3 linked regions of the Drosophila melanogaster genome follow. The protein of the gene in region 1 purifies or fractionates together with the protein of each later gene. This does not show direct contact. Each region holds a gene or a part of one and is shown in the gene's direction. Other genes may lie near its edges.

Evidence for each region.
Region 2: the proteins of CG11474 (region 1) and CG17746 purify together in Drosophila melanogaster (affinity purification with mass spectrometry, with the first as the bait; one large-scale study listed by BioGRID). This does not show direct contact.
Region 3: the proteins of CG11474 (region 1) and stai purify together in Drosophila melanogaster (affinity purification with mass spectrometry, with the first as the bait; one large-scale study listed by BioGRID). This does not show direct contact.

Annotation. Positions count from the first base shown.
Region 1 is NT_033778.4:22,069,717-22,076,257, reverse strand, and holds CG11474 (uncharacterized protein), read left to right. Parts: upstream 1-2,814; 5' UTR 2,815-2,957; coding exon 2,958-3,046; intron 3,047-3,190; coding exon 3,191-3,296; intron 3,297-3,363; coding exon 3,364-3,460; intron 3,461-3,625; coding exon 3,626-4,492; intron 4,493-4,550; coding exon 4,551-4,702; 3' UTR 4,703-5,024; downstream 5,025-6,541. Other genes in the region: CG2921 (uncharacterized protein), read left to right, coding at 1,053-1,329, 1,387-1,503, 1,559-2,291, 2,354-2,663; CG11475 (uncharacterized protein), read left to right, coding at 5,079-6,473.
Region 2 is NT_037436.4:3,234,883-3,242,234, reverse strand, and holds CG17746 (uncharacterized protein), read left to right. Parts: upstream 1-2,656; 5' UTR 2,657-2,813; intron 2,814-2,861; exon of another isoform or gene 2,862-2,993; intron 2,994-3,252; 5' UTR 3,253-3,341; coding exon 3,342-3,623; intron 3,624-4,162; coding exon 4,163-4,493; intron 4,494-4,570; coding exon 4,571-5,073; 3' UTR 5,074-5,288; downstream 5,289-7,352.
Region 3 is NT_033779.5:6,117,643-6,126,072, forward strand, and holds stai (stathmin), read left to right. Parts: upstream 1-3,031; 5' UTR 3,032-3,168; coding exon 3,169-3,568; intron 3,569-4,131; coding exon 4,132-4,301; intron 4,302-4,362; coding exon 4,363-4,548; intron 4,549-4,621; coding exon 4,622-4,768; intron 4,769-5,055; coding exon 5,056-5,211; intron 5,212-5,335; coding exon 5,336-5,422; 3' UTR 5,423-7,011; downstream 7,012-8,430. Other genes in the region: CG31642 (uncharacterized protein), read left to right, coding at 1,116-2,789; Arpc4 (Actin-related protein 2/3 complex, subunit 4), read left to right, coding at 7,607-8,113; WDR79 (WD repeat domain 79), read right to left, coding at 8,290-8,430.

The DNA of each region.
Region 1 (6,541 bases):
TGCGTGTGTGGTGACTCCGAGTCCAAACTCAAATCCAAATCCCCGTTCGTGTGTCTGTGCGGGTGGGCGTTTCTATTCACGATGGCATTTGCTGCGGTTGCCCTGCGGTTTAGCGCTGCCCGATTGCGAGACCAGATCGGATCGAACAGATCAATCGAGGTGCACTCACTGGTTGGCCGTTCCTCGCGCTTTAAACATTTTGCAGACCTCGCGTCGCGTTCGTTTGCCAAATAAAACTGCAATAAAGGGGCAGTGTTGGCAGCGCTATGAATCAGATGCGGAAGCAAAAAGGGGATAAAAAAGCCATCACGCTTTCCCAATTTCCAGCACTGTTCGTAAGACAGCTGATTACCGATACTTATGATTTTTCAATACTACTTATGTAAAAAATATGTAAAATATCTAATAACATGCATATATCTAAAAAAAAAAATATGTTTACGTTATTAACTACGTAACAACGTATTTGCATTTTTTCTTTTAATTTTCACATTCATATGTATTTATTAAAACTATTATTGTTTAAAATTTTAAAACAATATATTGCTTGTATTCAAATAGCGATGCTTATAAAACCATAAGCTGAAACAACTTAAACATATAATTGATAACCACGACACTAACGTCCTGTATTATTCATTAAATTTTTTAGAAATATACTTCAACCTTTTCGTTAAATAAAAGAAAAAAAAACCCATCTATTCTCAACCAACTAAATATAATTTCTTGAAAAATTTTAGCATATTAATAAAAATGAAAAATAAATAAACAAGAATGTGGTAAATTGCATTTTCTTAAGCAACTGAATATTTTTCATGAGGAGTTTTATCTGTTAAACTATAATTTTAAAAATAAGTCAGAATGAAAAAATTCACACTCGCGCATAAACTTAACAAATCAAATTCACAAACAGTCCTGCGCATAATCGCAGTGTGACGTGCGTTAGGCAACACTAAACAGATTGCAGCTTTGAAAAATCAGTCAAAATCAGGTAAATTCTGCTAAAATGCACCAGTAAACGCACAAAAATCACAGACAAAAAAAAAGAAAAGATGGAATCCTTATCGAAGGACCCTTCCTCGGAAGGCGAACTGCCCGAGGACGAAGGCAAAACGGACTCGGAACCCAGCAAAATATCGCGACTGTTGCGAACGGAATTCGATGCCAAATACCAGATCGTAAACCTGCAGACTCCTCTCAATGCCTTTATGTCGGGCCATTACAAGCAGAGCTTTGCCTTCTTCACACTCCGGAGTCGGCTGCCCGTGATCCTGACCAACGTGATAGATACGCTGACACGGGACAAATCCGAGCTGGTAGCCCAATTCGGTTGGTTAATCCCTGCAAGCGTTTTTTGGCATCTCCATTAACTTTTTCTTCTTCCAGCCTCAAATGAATTTTCACAGGCTGCCCGCGAGGAGCTAAAGATCATTATTGGATTGATCTCCAGGCTAAAGTACGAGCTGCAAACGGACAAATCGTTTCAAAACTTTACTGGCGAAGGTTAGTTCCTAGCTTCATAGAATTCTCATGAGGATTATAAGCCTTGTTTTCTTAGAACCCGATCGAGATGTTTGGAACAACTTTATCAGCAACCTGCCCGATGGCGAACGCAGCTTCTACAAAGCCAGCTCCCTCCATGCCGAGTGCTATCTGCACCGCAAACTCCACTCCTTTCTGGAAAACAGCGTATTTCTGAAGTCATACGATTTCTTTGCCAAAGTCAAGGAGCAGGCGCTAACGGATAGCATTGATGATATACTGGCCCTGACCAAGTACACACGACGATCAGAGAACAGCGTGGAGGTGTTCGACGAGCTTCTGAGGATCAACATGTGGAGCAACTGCAATGATGTGGCGACCGACACGGATACAGTAAAGCAATCGAACCGCCAGGTGCTGGAGAAAGTGGCAAACACCGATGAGCGCGTACTGGTTAACCAGGCAGCGGAGATTTGGAGGTGCTTGGAAAACCCTAAACTGAAGAAGCATAAGCAGGTGGACTTTATACTGGACAATGCAGGCTACGAACTCTTTAGCGACTTTATACTGGCTGAGTTCATGATTGAGAAGGGACTGGCCGACAAGGTGCGGTTCCATGTGAAGGCCCACCCTTGGTTTGTCACCGATGTGACGGAGCGGGACTTCAAGTGGACGCTGGAGTACTTGAGTGAGCATGCGGACTACATTATAAGTCTGATAGGAAAGAAGTTCCTACAATTCATCGATGAGGGAAAGTTCGAACTGGCGCCAATCTCGCATTTCTGGACATCACCACATTCGTTTTACAGGTTCGCATTCCGGATATGACTGCATATTCAGTGCCTCCTAATTACATCTTTGACTATTGCAGCATGGCGCAAATGGATCCAGATTTGTATAGTTCCCTGCAGCTATCCAAGCTGGTGGTCTTCAAGGGAGAGCTCAACTATCGCAAGCTGCTGCAGGACGTCTGCTGGGACCCCACCCAGGAACTCAGCACCTGCCTCCGTGGCTTCCTTCCCAGCAACATTTGTGTGCTGCGGCGGGTCAAGAGCGAAGTTATCTCCGGCCTGCCCGAGGGCGTTGGCCAGGCGCTGAGTGTGAAGGATCCGCGCTGGATGGTCTCGGGCAGTTATGGGGTCATTCAGTTCGTTGACGGAGCTCGTGAATTTGGCTATTAATCTTGTACAGGCTGGTCAGCTTAAATTATTGGTAATAAATAGTCGTTACATATCTAGAAGCCAAAGACGTCTTAAATATATACATATATGTACCTTTTTTGCTATGAAACAATAAAAAACTTGAAACATAAGTAACAAATTTTGAAAATTCAAAAAGTATCGCCTTGTAAATTATCGGTTCCAATTTCGGTATTTTCCATCACCGCCAAAGCGGTCACACTACGCGCCACTTTATCAATTTATAAACTTTCCGCAGCAGTACAATTCGGCTGGAGCAACAAACAGATCCTCGAAATGGGCAGCGAAACGGATTTTGACGCAAAGAATGGAATCGTGGACGGACCAACCCCGCCCCACACCGAGCTGGCGGCCCTCTATAAGCAGTGAGTAGGGCTAAATATAGCGCCTACTATAGATGGTGTCTAAATGGCCCGCGCATATGTAACAAATACGCCGACCCATCGTTACCCACACATCCAAGCTGTGGAATTGAATTATGATTATTACTTAAAAGTCATTTATTGCAGGAGCTTTGCCTACTACACCTTCCGTGTGCGTCTGCCTTCGACCTTGGCCACCATCGCGGATTCCCTAGTCAAGGACAAGGACGTCCTCCTGGCCACATATGGCGCGGTGGGTAGTTGTGTGCACTTCTACCTTGACCTTGAGCTTAAACCTTTGATATCAAATTGCATTCCAGGCAGCGGAAGCCGATATTGAACAAACTACAAAGGAGGTTAGACAGCTGCGGGATGACATCCTGAGCAACGGTCCTTTACTGCCCTTTGGTGAAAATGGTAGGTATTTGGGTGCTCATTGGGTTGGCAATCATATAAGTGTACTGTTTTAATTTCTTTTAATAGCATTGAACTCATAATTGATTGCGTTTTATATATTATTATTTCATTTACCCTGCGCAAAATGAATTTCTTTGATAAGAATAACGAATCTGTGCCTTTCAGATTCCGACTCTGAAGTGTGGAATGCATTCCTGGAAAAACTGCCCAAGGAGAAGAGAACCTACTTTTCCGTCTGCTGGCTGTACGCCGAGTGTTATATGTACCGCAAAATCTCATCTATTTTCCGGGCCACAGCCCATCTGGCCGCCTACGACTACTTCAGCCAGCAGAAACAGACGGCGACCAAACTGAGCGTGGACGCCATGCTGGCGGTGGCCAAGGCTACGCGGCACAATGAACGAAACTCGGACACCTTCCGCCAGTTGATCAAACTCAATTTGTGGGGCAACCGATGCGATCTGTCCATAACCTCCGGCAAACAGGTGAAGCCCACTGGCAATGCCTTTGACCAAGTTACGGATTTGGAGGAGAAGCTACTAATCGACGGCACCGCGGAGGTATGGAAAGCCCTGGACGGAGCCTCCGGAGAGGGCATTGTGGACATCATTTTCGACAACGCCGGCTATGAGCTGTACACGGATCTCATTCTGGCTGAGTACATTATCGACAAGGGATTGGCTGCCAAGGTGCGCTTCAATCCCAAGGCCATTCCTTGGTTCATTTCGGACGTGATGGAGCACGACTTCCACTGGGCACTTCAATTTCTGGCCGACCATCCGGATCCTGTGCTGAGTGAGGTCGGAAAAAAATGGCAGCGTTTGACGACCGAGGGCAAGTTCGAGCTTTCGCCACTGGAACACTTTTGGACGAGTCCCTACGAGTTCTATCGCATGCCAGAGGTAAATCCCTCACTCTACGACCGCCTGAAGGAGGCGCAACTGGTTATCTTCAAGGGTGACCTCAACTATCGCAAGTTGTTAGGCGACTTCTCCTGGGACAGCACGGAGTCCTTCGAAACTTGCTTGAGGGGTGAGTCTATCTTGACAGTAATTCTTCCAGTACTTACACGTTTTATATCCCTGTTAAGGCTTTCGTCCTTCCAATCTCTGCACTCTGCGCACAATTAAAGCGGATCTGATCTGCGGATTGGGTGCAGGCGTGGCGGACCAACTGTTTGCCAAGGATAAGGAGTGGATGTTGACTGGCGAGTATGGCGTAATACAGTTTGCCAGCAAGTAGAGAAAGAAGGAAATCAGGACAAGGAACAGCAAACTAGTTGAATTGTTTTAGTCGTTATAAGCTTAGCTTAATTGTTGAAATTCAGAGTGACCTATGCGAGATCCAAAACGAAATTATACTCAATTTAATCATTAACACTTCAACTATGACTAATTTAGTTTTTATAAAATGTTTTTAAACACATTTAAAACGTTTGCATTGCCTTTAGCAATTTAGTTGTACTCCAAAGCCTTTGGCATTGCTTAGTAAGCACAGACACTCACTCATATGAACGTCAGTTGTCCTATTAGGGCTATTAAAGTTTAGGAAAATATTAATTTGGAATCGAAATATTTTCCTGGCAAAGAGGGCTTCGAAATTCTACGTTTTAGGCGAAATGCATAGTGCTGACTTAACTAGCCACACCGATGTGACGGAAACCACCAATCTTGCCGCCATTGAGCAGTTGAAGGAACAGCGATTCAACGAGAAGAATCTGATCATATACAATCCGCCTGGAGAGAATGACGAACTTTCCGCCAGATTCCTGCGCAGCCTAGCTTTTGCCACCTTCAAGCGAAGATCGCCCGCATTTTTGAGGGATTTGATCACATTCCTACAGGATCGTGAGGCGGATATAATTGAACAGTGCGGGGACTATGCCCATTTCGATTTGAAGCGCACCATCTGGAGCCTGGAGCTGCTGCGCGATGATATAATCAACAACAGGGAGTTCCAGATAATTCGCGTCAAGTCGCCGGACACTGACAGCTGGAACTCGTTCCTCAAGGGTCTTGGAGAGGACAGAAGGCAGTGGTTTTCGGCAATTTGGCTGCATGCGGATTGCTACATGTACCGCCGCATTTGGTCGATCTTCCAGCGATCCGAAACCCTGAAAAATTATGATTACTTCGGTGATCAAAAGACGTCCATTGTTACCAATGTGGCGCCACTGATGAGGGACATCCTAGTCTCAACCAAAGGCATTAAGCGCAGCCAGGAGGACTTTCAGTATCTCCTAAAACTATCTACGTGGTCCAATCACGGTGACCTAAACATCACAAGAAGGGGTGCGCATGACAAAATCTATAAACAGATTGCCAAATACGACATTGATTTGCTGGCGGATCAGTCGTTCGATGTTTGGCAGGATCTCATCGAGGCCAGTGCGCCCGTCTACGTGGACATCGTGTGCGACAATGCGGGATTTGAGCTCTTTGCGGATCTGCTGCTGGGCGAGTACATCATAGAATCGGGCTTGGCCAGTCGGGTGCGGTTCCATGTGAAGGCTATACCGTGGTTCATCTCGGATTGCACGCACAAGGACTTTAACTGGCTAGTAAAGTTTCTACGCAAGCACGAGTTCCAGGAATTGAATGCCTTTGGTAAGCGGATACGTGGCTATATCAGGGATCGTTCCTTTATCCTGTGCGACAAAAGCTACTTCTGGACAAGTGGTCACGACTACAGCCAGATGAAGCGGGTGCAACCTTGCCTGTATGTCTACATTAGCCAGGCATCCCTGGTGATCTTTAAAGGAGATCTCAACTACCGGAAACTGCTCGGCGACATCAACAACAAACCCACTACCCAGTTTTCCGACTGCCTGCGCGGCTTTCAACCATCCAGCGTCTGTGCCCTGCGCGTCATTAAGTCCGATATCTATTGTGGACTGCCCATCTGCACGGTGGAGAAGCTAAGCGAGGAGAATCCCGAGTGGATGGTCACTGGCGACAAGGCCGTCGTACAGGTGGCCATCAAGCATCGACTCTCGAGTGACATTATCGTTTGAACACAAAAAATGATAGTCGGTCTCATTAGATTTCCCAATTAACAGCCCATATTTATATGTAGCTATTG
Region 2 (7,352 bases), on another chromosome or scaffold:
TCGGCTTTGGTCTGCTTTGAGGATCGGCCATGGCCGCGAACGTCGCGCCGCGCCGAAATCTGTGGCATGAATTCCCTGGAAATTATCGAAATTTCATTTCATTGCGGTACGGCCAGCCGAAATTAAGTTCAACAGCATTCCACCGGTCAGCGACTGTCTGGGCCCGTCTGTTGGCCAAAAACAAAATATATTTGTTAGCCGAGCTTAGAAGAGAGTAGCGCACGTCCTCCTGTACATCAATGAACATCGATTCTTTGGGAAGTTTGCCCTTTTGGATGCCGTATTTATTATGCATCTGTGGAAATGTATCTTATCGTTAGGTTTCGCAGAAATCGCAGTTCTCAAACGTAGCGTCTGGGTCACCATTTTCCATAGCTTAATAAACATACTAGATTGCGGTCACCAAAAACTAAAAATGCTCAATACTTTGATAGTAATTGAAGCTTCATATTGATCTAAGTATGTTGGCAGATGGCAACGGATTGATTTCCTGCCCTGCGACCAAGTTCCTTCATTATCCTTGGGAAAGGAGTCATTGCCCTGCCGCGGCTCACATTACACAATTGCATCGGCGATCCCGATCGGACGGTGCTCAAGTTACACAGAACTCCAGTGGCCTACTTCCACTCGAGTGACCCGCAATGTCCCCGAACAATACCCTTTGTGCCCAGTCCCAGAAAACAGGAGCAGGAGCAGGAGCTGCGTGCAGCAACCCCATTATCCCGATCCTGCTCAGCCAGCCAGCCAGCTAGCCAAAGACAAAGAAACCCATTTTGTCGCATTCAAACAGAAATTAATGTAAAACAAAACCCAATCCAATTCCAATTCCAATCCCATCCAAGAGCTCACTGTTGAGCGGTGATGGCGAGGGGGGGGAAGGGGCGCGCGACCAGCGAGGGCATTTAATTTTATTTTTATAACTGACCTCGAACTTTTGTGCAATGTGATTGAACTGCCTGACGACGATATCTGTGGGCCCTGGTCTGTCCGGCCCCCGTCGCAGTCCCTTTCCGTCAGCGGGACATACACTTGGAAAAATAATGTGGCCATAGGCCCGACTTTGAAGAAATATATAGAAAAGATACATTTAGTTTGGTTGCCACCTAAGCGTATACTTAATATTCTTAATCTACTGGCATTTACTAAGCCAGATTAAAATATTTACCACTTGAAGTAAGAAGAACTTAAATTTATAAATAAAATAATAATAATATAAATGAAATAAATTTTTATATATTATATTAATATTATTTTGCTCAGTGTTGCTGCGATCCGAAGTGCAGCATTTGCATGCAGACTGCATATGGAGCTGTTGATCGCCTCCAACTCCGATTCCGATTTGGAGAGCGATTCAGGGACCGAAACCGAGCCTGGATGCAATCCGCGGTTGACAAACAATATGGAAATTTTACTGAGTGCGCTAAAATAAAAGGGGAAGCGAAAGCGAATCTTAAATGGCAAGAGGCGAGTGTTGGCGAGGGGGGGGGGCGGTGGCAGCGGGGTCGATAGTTGCAGTCGTCAGCGGGGAACGTTAAATGCATAATAAATGTGCGTTCTAGAGGTTGGGAAATAAAATGCGTGCAGCGACGTTGACGCCTTGCACTTTCAATGACCAAACAGAACGATAAGAAAGGCAGAGATATAATACACTGAGCCAAATTAAGTGCATTATCACATTTAAAAACGATTTCTAGCAAGCCAAGCTAGATAAAGTGTCGAACATTATTCCTCAAAATTCGAATAATTTAAGAATAGTTGTTGTTGTATGGAAGTGTATGTTCGTTCCTATCTAATCTTTGTTTGAGTTCCAAATTTGTACTACTTATAAATGCATAAAGGCGGGTGATACCAATTCGTATGTACATATGTAGGTTCGACAACAAAGTTCTGATTGACTTTGTTTGCCGAAACAATTTCAGAGCGCCAAAGATAATGCGAATAAAATGGAAATGGAGAGGGACCTCTGAAATACATCCACTAGTTCTTTATCAAAAATTGCTCTGTGGCTTTTGCTTTTGCTGCTGCTGTGCAAATATTTAATACATTTTTTGCGCTCGCCAAAAGCGCAAAACAAAAGAACCCAAAAAAAGAGACGAAGACGAAGAAGACAATAAATAGAAAGCAGAGGCGTTGGCAGCGGCGAATGCCAGTCAAGCTTTAATTCCCCAAGCAACAACAATATGGGAGCAACAACAAAACAGCAGCAGCGGCAACCGCAAAAAGTGCTTAGCTGACGTCATTTGTCCTTGAATTCGTATATTTGCCGCAAGCCCAAAGCGAAATTCGCAAAATTCAATGCACTCGCCAGCTAAACAAAAAAAATAAAAGAGCAGATAAGACGACGAAAAGGCGAAATGAGAAGCGGAAAAGAGTAGCCGCATAATGTGAAATTTGCATTGGAATTGCAGAATTCATTCGAAATGTGAATTTCAATGGAAAGGCAAAAGAACATCACTCATTATTTGTACAATTAAGGTGCATAAATAATATTTTTTTGGATTTTAAACTTTTTAAATTCAAATCAAGGCGCCAAAACCAAAAAGCTTTTCGCCAGTGCTGCCAAGCTAGTCGAGACGCACTCACAAGCAGGGCGCCACTCTGCCAGTGTTGAACAGTACCGGCATTAGTGTGGTCAACTACCATGCGTTTGTAAACAGCAGTTAGGAATTTACCATTTTTCAGACACGTTCACACTTCAAAACACAAATTCAATAAAAAAATAAACACGCGCAGTTTTTAATAATTTTTTACCAAACAGTTTTTCTTTGATGCGTACTCGCTTTGCAGGGTGGAGCAAAAACGGTGAACGCCAGGTGTGTAATCAGCGCATCGTTAATTTGGCGCCGCTCCTCCTCTTCTATCTTCTCTCCACTTCTCTCCGTTTTTTTTGCGTGTTTTCCGTTGCTGTTCTGGTTTTCCGTTCTTATTTTCTGGTTTTGCATAAGTTTAAATAAGCTGCAAACTGTGAACATATTAGGGAGCACGCGAAGGAAGTACGTTGATCGTCAGCCGTAATATCCGGCTTATCGACGCTCATTTATCACCTGCCCTTTGAACCCAAGCTGAATCCAATTCCGGATCGCGATCCGGCCCTGAAATCTCCACGTCTGTTTGCTTATGCCTCTGATATACTAATCTCCGGAGCCCACGCGTATCTGAAGTTGACAGTCGGCCGTCGGTCGTTCCGCGCTCCGCAGCAGTCAGTTTCGTAATTAACTTAACCCGTGTGCTTGTACGTCTTCTTTCCCGCAGAAAAGCGACGTAAATCGATAGCACTAACCCCGCCCGCAAAGAAGTCAGCCCACACAACACACTCCACACCGCACACCATACAAGCCGCAATGGGTCAGACTCTATCGGAACCGGTGACCGCCAAGGAGTCAGCGTACTGCCAGAACGCCGCCTACCGCGTGGGCAGCTCCTGCATGCAGGGGTGGCGCATCAACATGGAGGACTCGCACACCCACATCCTCTCGCTGCCGGACGATCCGGGAGCGGCATTCTTCGCCGTCTACGACGGGCACGGAGGCGCCACGGTGGCCCAGTACGCCGGCAAGCACCTGCACAAGTACGTTCTCAAGCGGCCGGAGTACAACGACAACATCGAACAGGCGCTGCAGCAGGTGAGTCACGGCAGAGTCACTTTTAGATGGCGGGAATGGCGACATTTATAGATCGCTGAAGGCAGTTGGAGTACCTATGTATATGTACTCCTCACATGCAGTCTTCTTTCGGATATGCACGGTATCGATGATGTCCTTAAATAAATGATAATTGGATACTTGGATATATGAGGGTAGTACCCACTTCTTAAAACCAAAGTTTTACATATTACACATATATGTATGTATGTACAATACGTACCTATTCTATTCTATTCAAGCGACTCATTTCAACAAATTGTTACTCATCTGCAGCACAAAGATTTGTTAAGAATGATAAGTAATGGGATGAAAACAACTTGTTAAAACCTCTATACATTTATCTTTATATGTCTCACGTTTATTAAAGTCATATACTTTTTGAAGATACATATAAACAACAGATTAACTTATAAAGATATCTAAAATGTAATGCCATTTAAATTCACTAGTTTTGAGAACATGTAAAGCTCTTCAAGCCATTCTATTTAATTCATGACTCATATATGATGCAATTGCAGGGCTTTCTGGACATCGACTACGTTATGCTACGCAACAAGACATGTGGTGACCAGATGGCCGGCTCGACTGCCGTAGTTGTTTTGGTAAAGGACAACAAGCTTTATTGCGCCAACGCAGGCGACTCGCGCGCCATTGCCTGCGTGAACGGACAACTGGAGGTCCTGTCGCTGGACCACAAGCCCAATAACGAGGCGGAGTCCAAGCGGATCATCCAAGGCGGCGGCTGGGTTGAGTTCAATCGCGTCAACGGCAATCTTGCGCTTTCCCGCGCCCTCGGTGACTATGTATTCAAGCATGAGAACAAAAAACCGGAAGATCAAATCGTCACAGGTGAGAATCACCATCTCCATCCATTGTTCTTGTTAAGCATTATCACCTTGTTTCTTGTTCTCCGTGCGCCTATATAGCCTTCCCGGACGTGGAGACGCGGAAAATCATGGACGATTGGGAATTCATCGTGCTGGCCTGCGATGGCATTTGGGATGTAATGAGCAACGCGGAAGTGCTCGAGTTCTGTCGCACGCGCATCGGCATGGGCATGTTTCCGGAGGAGATCTGCGAAGAGCTGATGAATCACTGCCTAGCACCCGACTGCCAAATGGGAGGCCTCGGCGGCGACAATATGACCGTGGTGCTGGTGTGCCTGCTGCACGGCCGTCCCTACAGCGATCTGATAGCCCGCTGCCGAAATGGCAGCCAGGCGACTAACAATGATCAAGAGGAAGCCGGCGACGCGACGAAGGATGAAGTCGCAAAGGACGAAGCGGAGGCGGAAACCGATACCGAAACGGAAACGCAAACCAAACCCTGCCAGAAGCAATCCAATTCCGGTCCCATGGACGACGAGGTGAAGATGGCGTCGCATCTAAACAAGATGGCAGCGATCGAAAGCCACTATATATACGATTAATTAGGGTTACAGAAATAGCGCTTAGGTCAACTCTTTATACTTAACAGCGCAAGTGTTCTTGGTTAAGTTTTATATACACACAGTACGCCACACAGTCCTTACCAAAATATTTGCTCCGATTATTAATAATTGTTTTAACTGTAACCCCACGATGCGTGTATATGCCTTGTCTAACTATTTAATGTATGATTTACTATGCTTTGTGATGCCCGAGCAAAATGGATAAAAAAGAATTGTATTACTCGTTTAGTATTTATGTACCTAAGCATACTTGTGAAAGTTGTTTGGAACTGATCTTTTAGAAATGAGTGCGAAGAAGTTTCAAAATTAAAATGAACAAAATGTTTTGTAGTGCCCAAGAAAGTGGAATTTTTTTTTTGTATATTAAGGGGGAACTAAAGTATAAGCGATAAATATTATTAGTCATTTTGTTCGATGTAGAATCCATGAAAGTAAGATGCACTTTTTGAGACTGATTCTACCATCCTGTTTGCCACGCGTTGCAATACTTTTTGGTGGATCCAAGACGGCTATCAGGAACAGCTTTGGCTCCGGTTGGGCATTAAGTTGGACTGGAGTAAATGGCCCCCGTGGATGGTGGTTATCGCTTTATTGTTTTCCTCGGTTATCTACAAAACGAACGCTCGCTGTTGTTGTCCGCTTTTTATTTACTGGGGTTTATAATTATATGAGGCATACAGTGGAATCAAGACTAAAAGTGGCCAGAGTGGGAGCATTGGTCATGAAAAGTTCCGGCCGCATATATGTTTTTTCAACTCGCAAGTATAAATTTTATTTAAACTTTTCGCTATTAAGTCGTTACGTCCTCGCAACATCATCATCGCCTAGTCATTCATCGTCTAGTTTTACGTACAAATTGTTTAATTGTTCAATGGTTCAGGCTTAACTATCATAGCATAGAGAGGAAATGAATTACGCTTTTTGTTTTTTTTTTTGGTTGTTTCTCAGTGTTTGTATTTTTTTTTTCGTTTTGTTTTATTATAATATTTTTATTTATATTTTTGCCATCATATTACACATTCAATTATGTATAACTGCTGTTGGTTTTGCTTTCGCTTGCTGCATAGAGGGATATTGTATTTCTTAGTTAGTTTATAGTTTAAATCATATGCAATTTTATAAACTTCTTGTTACTTTACAGTTATCAATTTCGGTACAATTACAAATTGATTATATATATATATATTTATATATGTATGCATGTACTTCTCGTTATTCATATTACATATTCTCATTTTTGTTTTTTTAACAGACAGGTTTTTCTTCTTGTGTTTATGTTCTTGTTGTTCTTTTGTTGTTGTTGTTGTTGTTTTTCTAGTGATAACAATGTGCGTAAGCATTTTAGTTTAGCGTTGTTTGTTTGTTGCTTGCTGTAGTACAAAATCAGTTTGTAAACTAACTAATGCCAAAGCAACAAAAGGGAAACAACTCAAAAGTTCTTTCGAAATTACATCGAACGTAAAAGTGTTAGGGCGATTTTGATGGCAGTGCCAAAGAAGGTGATCGCATGAAATCAGGAGAAAATTGCCCCCGGAAATGTAAATGTATAGCTAAGGGTATGTACAGTGGTCTGTTGGGGGGCACATTCCATAGGATTAAATAATACAACGTTTTTGGGTGGTCTAAGAACAAAAACTAAACCATATCGCTATTCTAAGCTAGGTAGGTGTCAGTGTGGTTCTGAGTGTCTCGGTTGAGGATCAGGAGATGTATGATATATGTGCTTGGATTTGGGTGTGGTTTGGTTTGTTCTGGTGTGGTGGCAATGCGGGAAATACATAGCTCTATGGGCGTGGCATGTCTGCTGAACTTGCAATAGTATTATTTTGTAAATATAACAAGGTGTCATATGCGCTGCTTAAGTATACAAAAATAAATAACTTAAGAACTGAGGTTTACAATTTAACAATTTAATTTAATTTATTGTATTCCTTAAAATTATTCAACATCAACAATGTTTCTTTACTTTCCCTATTCCCTATACTCCCTATCTCTCGCCACGGTTCTCTATCGTCCCTCGATCTCAGCGAGCGGATGGGCAGCGTGGTCAAGTGTCCAAGTGTCGACTGTCTCATGGCCGAGTGGGAGTTGCAAGCTCGACTGGCTTGCTCCAACCCGCATTCCGTTTATTTGTTTTTGTTTTTTGTCGCACACAATTGATGATTTGTCAATTGCATAATATCACATCTCATTGTCGGAAGCTTGGAGACGTCGCCAACGAACAGCTGGCTCCACTCTGGCCACATGCTGTTCCTCAT
Region 3 (8,430 bases), on another chromosome or scaffold:
AGACCTTTAACGCGAGCCATAATTTCTATTGAAATGGCTCTAGATTTTTAATTAAAACCGTCAAATGTCAACGGCTCTTTTCATTTGATTAATTTTGAAGACCCTTCTGTGAAATACATAAAAAAATGAAATACTCACAGGTGTACCACCTATTCGCTTTCTATTTCGCGTAATTTGCAAAAATGTAATTGAGGCCAACGTGTGGTACACATGTATGTTAGTGGATGCATTTTACGCTGCCTTTCATTATTATAATGATGCTTATTATTTTAACGAAAGCTTTTAGTTTCACCTAAAGTGCGGGAATGCCTGCGTAGAGTGGAACGGAAATTCATAATCAAAATATGGCCGTCTACCAATTGCAATGTATAAACAAAAAAGGCGAATGTTCTATTTAAGTTGTTCCAATTTTGCGACAAAAAAAGAAGTGGAAAAATCTTAAATCTCAAGCAAATTAATGATTATATGTGCAAACTCGTAAAAAATACAAATGCGAACATTTTAACTCGAATATGAATATAACACAAATAAAAGGGTTTAAGAAACGAAACTGTAAACGAAATAACTCATCGAAGCTATTGTATATGAAGTATATGCTATCTATTATGGCGGGTTATGCGTTGATATCATAAGATTACAAATTATGCAAAAACATGTTGTTTCTATAGCTACTTAATTGTACATTGTAATTGTAAGTAATTTATAAGGCCACAGAAATATACTCCGTCATAGAAACTTCTCGTCGTGCACGTGCTCCTATTTTTTCGGGATTTTCACAATTGTTGATAGAATCGAGTTGGCAGCGCCTTTTGGAGTTTAGCTTTCAGTCTCACTTTTTTGTTCGATATTCAATAGAAGTTTAGTCAAATAATTTTTCTTGTCGAGTAAAGGTGTTCATCAGTTGAAAGTGAAAAGTTGTGAAAAGAGTAAGTTGTTGAAACGAATAAAAAACACTGGCGAGGCCGCTCACATTTCAATTTTAAATAGGGTTCTCTAATATCATAAACAAAATTCAGCAAACTTTTGAGTCTTCACCAACGACGATTCTCTGCGCACAATTCGTATATAATATCATCCGTGCACGAATTCCATTGCCAGAATCACTTCAAGCACCCATGGCCCACCAGATGCGCAATCCGCCGGAGCGCCACTTTGGCCACCGCTGCGAGAACTGCAAGATATCCGATTTCCAGGGCCGCCGCTACACCTGCAGGTTCTGCGCGGAATACACTTTGTGCGGCAAGTGCTTCGATGCCAACCATCTGCCGGCATCGCCTCAGCATCGCTACTACCATCCGATGAGTGTGTACTATGCCTATGCCGAGTACCAGCTGTACTTCGGCGGCGAGCCATTCTGCGGTGATCACAAAGTGGCCCAGAGCTACAAATGTGCCCTGTGCGATGTTCGCGGCCTTTCTACCGCCCATTTGTTCATGCACCTGCTGCAGGAGCATCGCGACCACCGTGACCACGATGCCTACTTGTCGTTGGTCAATACTCTCTATATAGCGGACAACGGAATGGAGCAACAGGTGCCAGTACCGCAACCTTCTAGCCAAACGCGCTCGACTCGTTCTCGCAATTTAGCAAGCGTTCGACCGGTAGCCGGTGGCAACACGCGAAGCGAACAGCGGACCGAGCAGGTATTTGATTCCGCATTAAGCCTGGCCCTAATGGTTGTGCAGCTGGACAATATGGATTCAACTGCCGCCGACTTTCCTGAACGCTGCTATGAGATACTGCAGCAGACTGAAACTGTGCTTATGCAGCACAGAAGTTCCAGAGTGCCGGACATGGAGGCGATTGAGTCTTTTGTGCGCGTCATCGAAGATCAGGTTGTGACTAGCATGGCCGATCGTCGTCAGCGTCTGGGCGCCTCATCATCCTCACTACATCGGCTGACCCGCATTGAGGCAATCTCTCCTGGTACTAATACAGCGTTAGCTATGGGTATGCGTGCTGCCATGCCCGTTTTGGTTGACCAGCCGACAACAATGGTGCGCAGGCAGACGGCTAGGCGTACTGGAGAGCCTATCGGGATAGCCCTTCAATCGGCGGTGGCTTCGTCTTCTAGGAGCGGAAAAGCGGGGTCCAGCTCTGGGGTAGCCAAGGCACAAACGAAGACGCAAGGAGATCAGCCCACCAAGAAGGTGTCAACTGTCATTACTTCCCCACTCAAGGATAAGCGCTTTTTGTGCTCGAAATTGGTGAGCGGAAATGGCCAAAAGTGGGAAAGCAAATTGCTCAAAGCTACCTTTACCGAGGCAATGTTCTGTTCGATGTTGGCAGACGAAGAGCTGTTCCAGCCGCCAATTGGACTGCCCTGGACTGCGAATTTCATGTTGGACGCAGTCGAGCCATCAGGCAGTGTAAAATCAAATGGGAAACTATTGCTGTATCCTGTTAAGACCAAGGAATTGATGGAACGCTTCTACAGGGGTCTCGCCGAGTACAAAACTTGGATTGGTTATCAGACCGAACCAACTGCCGAAAGCAAGGCAACTGAACTCCCATCCGCTTCCACCAGCTCGGCTTATTTCACAGTTTTGGGCGATATCCCATATGCGGATTCCGGATCGGATGATTTGGAAAGTAATGCATCAGAAGAAATGGCCAGCGATTTGCATGGCGAAGGAAACAGCGATGATTTAGCCGGATTGGAGGAGGACAAGGAAAGCGGCGAGGAAGAAAACGGTGATGAGGACGATGGAGCTTCGGATTCCGATTTCTCTGAGTCAGCCATTTCTCAAATCACCGACTTCATAGATATGGTCATCCAGGACGAATAGGCGGGGCACCCAGCATTTGTAGGAAATAAGCCTCGGTATTTTCATAATTACATATGCATATGTAGTATTTTGAAATAAACATTTCTAAAAGAAAATGACCAAACGATCTGGATGTTTCCTCAGGTTTTTCCATTTCATAGGAAGCTTTTCTCGGATATTTCTCTGGCTAGTGGAAGATGATTTACAAAATCTTATTTGCACATCTAGTAGGCAGCGCTTTTCCATTTTATTCCGGTCTACAGTTGTCTCTATTTGTTATTGCAAAACATTTCTCCGACATCTGAGAACAAAATATAAATAAAGCATTAAACATTTTTCGATAAACCCAGTAACGACGCCAAATTGAACTTCGATCAGTCATTTGATCATATCATTTAAAATGGGTTGCAATTTCTCTGCTTTACCGACCAAATGTAAGGGTTGCGGGCAAATTCGCGCTGACTTTGACCGACGGTACGGTTGCAGTGAGTGCGGATCTGAGGTAATGTACTGCGGCCAGTGTTTTGATGAGGGCCGAAATCAGCACACTGAGACGCACAAGGACGACCGCCGCATTAAGATTATCTACCATCGGTCCTTTCTTGACAAATTCTTCAGCGGCGAGAAGCTGCTAAACGGCGATGCTTCAAAAAGCTACAATTGCGTTTTTTGTAAGAAGAGATTTAGCGCCGAGGAGTTGCAGTTGCACTTGTCCGAGATGCACTCGAATCCCGCGGATGCGTCAGCGTTGACGGTCATGCTGGAAAGGATGAGGCAGGAAGATTTGGAGAACAGAATTGGTGAGATATGGCAACATTTTGGGTAAACAATCTATGCACACTCATTGTGATTGCCTAAAAGCTTTTGTCACCATTGACACTCCATAATAATAGCAAATTATGTGTCAAAATATGGTTATGGATACATATAAAAGGTGTCCACTGTCGGCTGTCGTGGCAACATCTTCAAGTATCGTTATCCCTCTTGTTCAATGATTGTATACATATACATATTTTTGTTTTGACAAATCATTTTTCGCTTCGTTGGTTGTCCAGCATTCCATTTGATGGATTTGTCTACAAGTTAGATAATGAGAATGTCAAGATATCGATTTTAGGTGATTATATTTCGATGTAACACTAAATTCGTATTGTTTAACTTATTGGCCAAAAGAACAACATTTAAGTTTAGTTTTTAAGGGGGTGGAAGTGTAAAAATGACGTCATGTTGTTTTGATGGGGGGAAAGCCAAGTCGAGGGTTGAACCACGAGGTTCACCCTTAACCGCAACTATTCGATGCACCCCAAGTGCAAAAATATTGAATTACTATAAGTCTCCCTTTGCTTTCCTTCCTCCTCCACAGCCACAGAGATTCGCTGCCAGGAGAAGTCCCGCGGGGGATTGAGCTATGAGGTCATCCTGGCCGAACCGGCACCCAATGTGGCCGTTCCAAAACGACCGGTCACCCCTGGCAAGAACGTTAGCGTCGAGGAGATTGAGCAGAAACTTAAGGCGGCCGAGGAACGTCGCATTGTAAGTACATAAATTAAAGAATTAAAGTTGTTGTAAAGCAAGTGAAATCTTGTTTCCCCAGTCTCTAGAAGCCAAGAAGATGGCTGACATCTCCACTAAGCTGGCTAAAGTCGAGGAGGCGACTCGCAAAAAGGATGAGATCACCAATGAGTTTATTACTCAGACCAAGGAGCAGCTGGAGTCGAAAATGGAGCTGCATGTGGAGAAGCGAGAGGCCATCATCAGTGACATGAAGGAGAAGCTAAAGGTAGGCTACCAAACCTATTGCATCCCATAGTATATTCCCAACTAACCAAGTATTTTCTTCCGTTTAACGAAAGATCCATGCCCAGGATATCGAAAAGACGCGTGAGACTCTTGAGCAGCAGAAGGCCAACGAGCAGAAGGCAATCGAGGAAAAGTTGAAGATTGCTCAGTCTCTTCGCGATGAGAATATCAAGAAAATGTTGGATCGCCTAAAGGAGCATGTGAGTCTATAGCATGGCCAAAAGTTTTCATTAAATCTAGTTTATGATTAGATGTATGTAATTATAATATTCAATACCCAAGATCCCATAAGTCTCAACAATTACTTTATAAACATTACATTAACTTACATTCATTGCTGGAATATAAAATTGAAATGACACATCATTTTGACTGGACTAGCAAACTGGTTAACATTTAGTTAGTCATTGAGTGTACGAACTATAAATAAGTTATCATGCGTTCATATAATTTTGGTTTTTCATTTCTCTTATATCCTCTCATTTAGAACACAATCAAAATTGCCGAAATCAAATCGCAGAACGATCAATTGGAATGTCAAAAGATCGAGGAGAAAGCGCGCATTTATGAGAACAAATTGTTCGCCGCCGAGCAGAAACGCGAAAAGGAATTGCAAAAAAAAATTGAAAAAGTTCAAAAACTCGTACGTGTTGTTCCCCCCCACTGAAAGCGACAATTTGCCCTATTGTTTGAGTAGCACTTGGCAGTAGTTGCACATCTCCATTCGCAAACGAATATTAATCCTTGATTGCTTTCCTTTCTTTCAGGAACGTCGCGCTGAGCTCGTGCGCCAGAACAAGGCCCAGGCCCAGGATTTGGATGGTCAGCAGAGCGCCATTGCCTCCTCAGGCTAAGTGGAGAACGATCCTGCATCGAGAGCTGTGCTCACCCACTGCAAACATGGTTACAAGGCGACTACAAAAAGAACAGCAACACTGCATAATACACCAACACATATTTAAGCAAGAAAACCCTTAAAACTGAAAACGATTTCTCAAAATTTCCAAGTATTATGAAAGCAAACGAAGCGAAGGGCAAGGGCAAAGTCTCAAGATACCGCTGAGCGAGTTTTCTCACGAGCTCTATAATGAAACACGAATAAGCTACTATAAAGCGAAAAGAAATGAATGCTTACGGCAAGTTAATGCAAAAAAAAAATTAGTAAAGGAAATCTACATTTAAACTTAAAAGCCCAGGCAGAAAAGCCTATGCAAGTTGAATGCATGCCTGTCATTTAAAATTTCAAATTCTTTTAAAAGTTCACGTTGATTTCAGTTGAAAGTTTAAAACACTTTTTACCTTGAGTTCCAAGAATGTTATATTCGTTTTGGATTCATTATTTTCAAAGTCTTAGTCTTGAATGTTCAAGTTTTTTTTTTTTTTTAATTACTGTGGCATCGACTGAGGTATTCTCAAAATAATAAGCACGCTGTATTTGCATCTATGAATGGCTTTCGCGAGTAAAAATTTGAAAATGTTTTTAATTAAGTTAATGTATACTTTAGTGGTAATTTTAATTTACTAACTTGCAACAACATGATACATATACATGCTGAATATAGTTTTACACTAACAAATAATTTGTTCTTATAAGTTTCGCATTTTCTATCTATAAAATAAATGTCTAACAGAAAAAATACATAAGAAATGCTTATACAATTCAATAAAATCAAATACCATGTAAAACACACGAAACGCATTTTTCCTTTATTTACATACAACACAAACACTAAAAACGCTGATATAGACATTAATATAAATGGAAGGAAACTACGTATAAGCATACATTAATGTGTGTAATATTATATGGAAATGCATATTTTGTCTAACGTCGGGTTATTTTTAGAAATGGGTTTAAGAGGAGAGTGAATGTGGGGGTTATAATAAAAAAAAAAAAAAGTATTTAGGGCAAACCAAATGGAATATTTAGGAAAATTTTTTCCAAAAACCTGCGAGTTATTTTTAATTTTGCACCAAAGGGCGCTTTAAAGATTAGCTTAAATTTAAATCTTATATCGTTATATATGTATGTGTACTCGTGTAAACCTATGGCTTCTACAAATGAATATCAATAACATAAATCTCTTAATAAAAATGTGCATTGGCAAAACAATTTAACACGCACAGGACACCAAATTACCCAGACACGAAAACTTTCAAGCATACTCAAGAAAAAACGAACAAAATATAAACGCAAAGCATAAAATGCTTTGATATTTACTCAATTTATGATATATTAATGTCTAATCCAATGCAATAATCAGCCGAAACATTTTTTGAGTATTGAGAGTAGGAAAGGGTTACAATTTTGAACGATTGATTAAAATACTCACTTTCTAGGTTCACGCATAATTTAAGTTCATATAAGCCACAAATAACTGACCATATGCGAGCAAAAATACTTATAACAATTGTATAATAAAAGTGCATTAAACAAATAAATGCAATATTTATAATTGGTGGATGCTGTTTTCTTCTAAATTAACATTTTTCCTCTTTGCTGGTGTGTTGGGTTTTCGGACTTTAATATGGTACACATATATTTGATATTTCCATTTCAAATTTTAACGCTTCTAGCCATATACATTTTTCTTAAATTTTTAAAATTTAGGTATGATTTAAATTGTTTCACTCCTAAAAATTCCACAAAGATAAGATACAAATGGAAATGGAACAGTGGTTGTGGTCTCGGGTAAGTTCTTGATAGTCAAGTTTCTTACCATCTTAACACAGGACATCATAAGAAATGTTTTAAGTGCGATTTGATAAATGTTTAAAAACAACATGTTTAATATTGATTGTATAAACTTTATGCATAGTCTTCCCAAACATATAATAGAAACTGTTTCATAACAAATTCCAAATAGTTGCTATGTTTTTGCGGCCCCACCTCGGCATTGGTATTTTCCTGCCAGCCGCGCATGGTCACATCTTTTCTGGTTGATAAATTCCAGGGCCTGTGAATCATAATAAGTTAAGTAAAAAGTGCAGATACAACAAACCGCAGGCAGCAGACAACAACCCGACACCCAGACACAATGGCAGCCACATTGAAGCCCTACCTGACCGCCGTGCGACACTCGCTGACGGCGGCGATGTGCCTGCAGGACTTCCCCTCGCAGGTGGTGGAGCGGCACAACAAGCCGGAGGTGGAGATCTGTTCCAGCAAGGAGCTGGTGCTCACGCCCGTCGTCGTGTCGCGCAACGAGCGGGAGAAGGTGCTGATCGAGCCGTCCATTAACTCGGTGCGCGTGAGCATCGCCGTGAAGCAGGCCGACGAGATTGAGCGCATACTGTGCCACAAGTTCACCAGGTTCATGATGCGACGCGCCGAGTCGTTCGTCATACTGCGCCGCAAGCCCATCGAGGGCTACGACATAAGCTTCCTCATCACCAACTTCCACACGGAGCAGATGTATAAGCACAAACTGGTGGACTTTGTCATTAGCTTCATGGAGGAGATCGACAAGGAGATCAGCGAAATGAAACTGGCGGTCAATGCCAGGGCACGCACCTGCGCCGAGGAGTTCCTCAAACGGTTCTAGGTAAGTGTTCCACCTAACAGCCATCGCCATTGAGTCGACGCCAACTTACTCTCGCAAATCCTTTGCAGGTGAAGGCAACCAGTATGGACCCGGTCATGATGCTTTAGTATTTCCAAATGGATTCAAGAATAAAGACGGATTTTGTATTATTTACTCGACTACACCAGTTTTATATGCTATCCCGTTTGGCCGCACCACCACATGACCACTGCGTTCTCGTAGAGAACTTCCTTCTGATTTTGATTCACATCGGCCGGCGCCGGCAACTCCGTCGTTTCCGTTCCGTTTAAGGTCACGTTGTCCCCTTGGGCACTTTG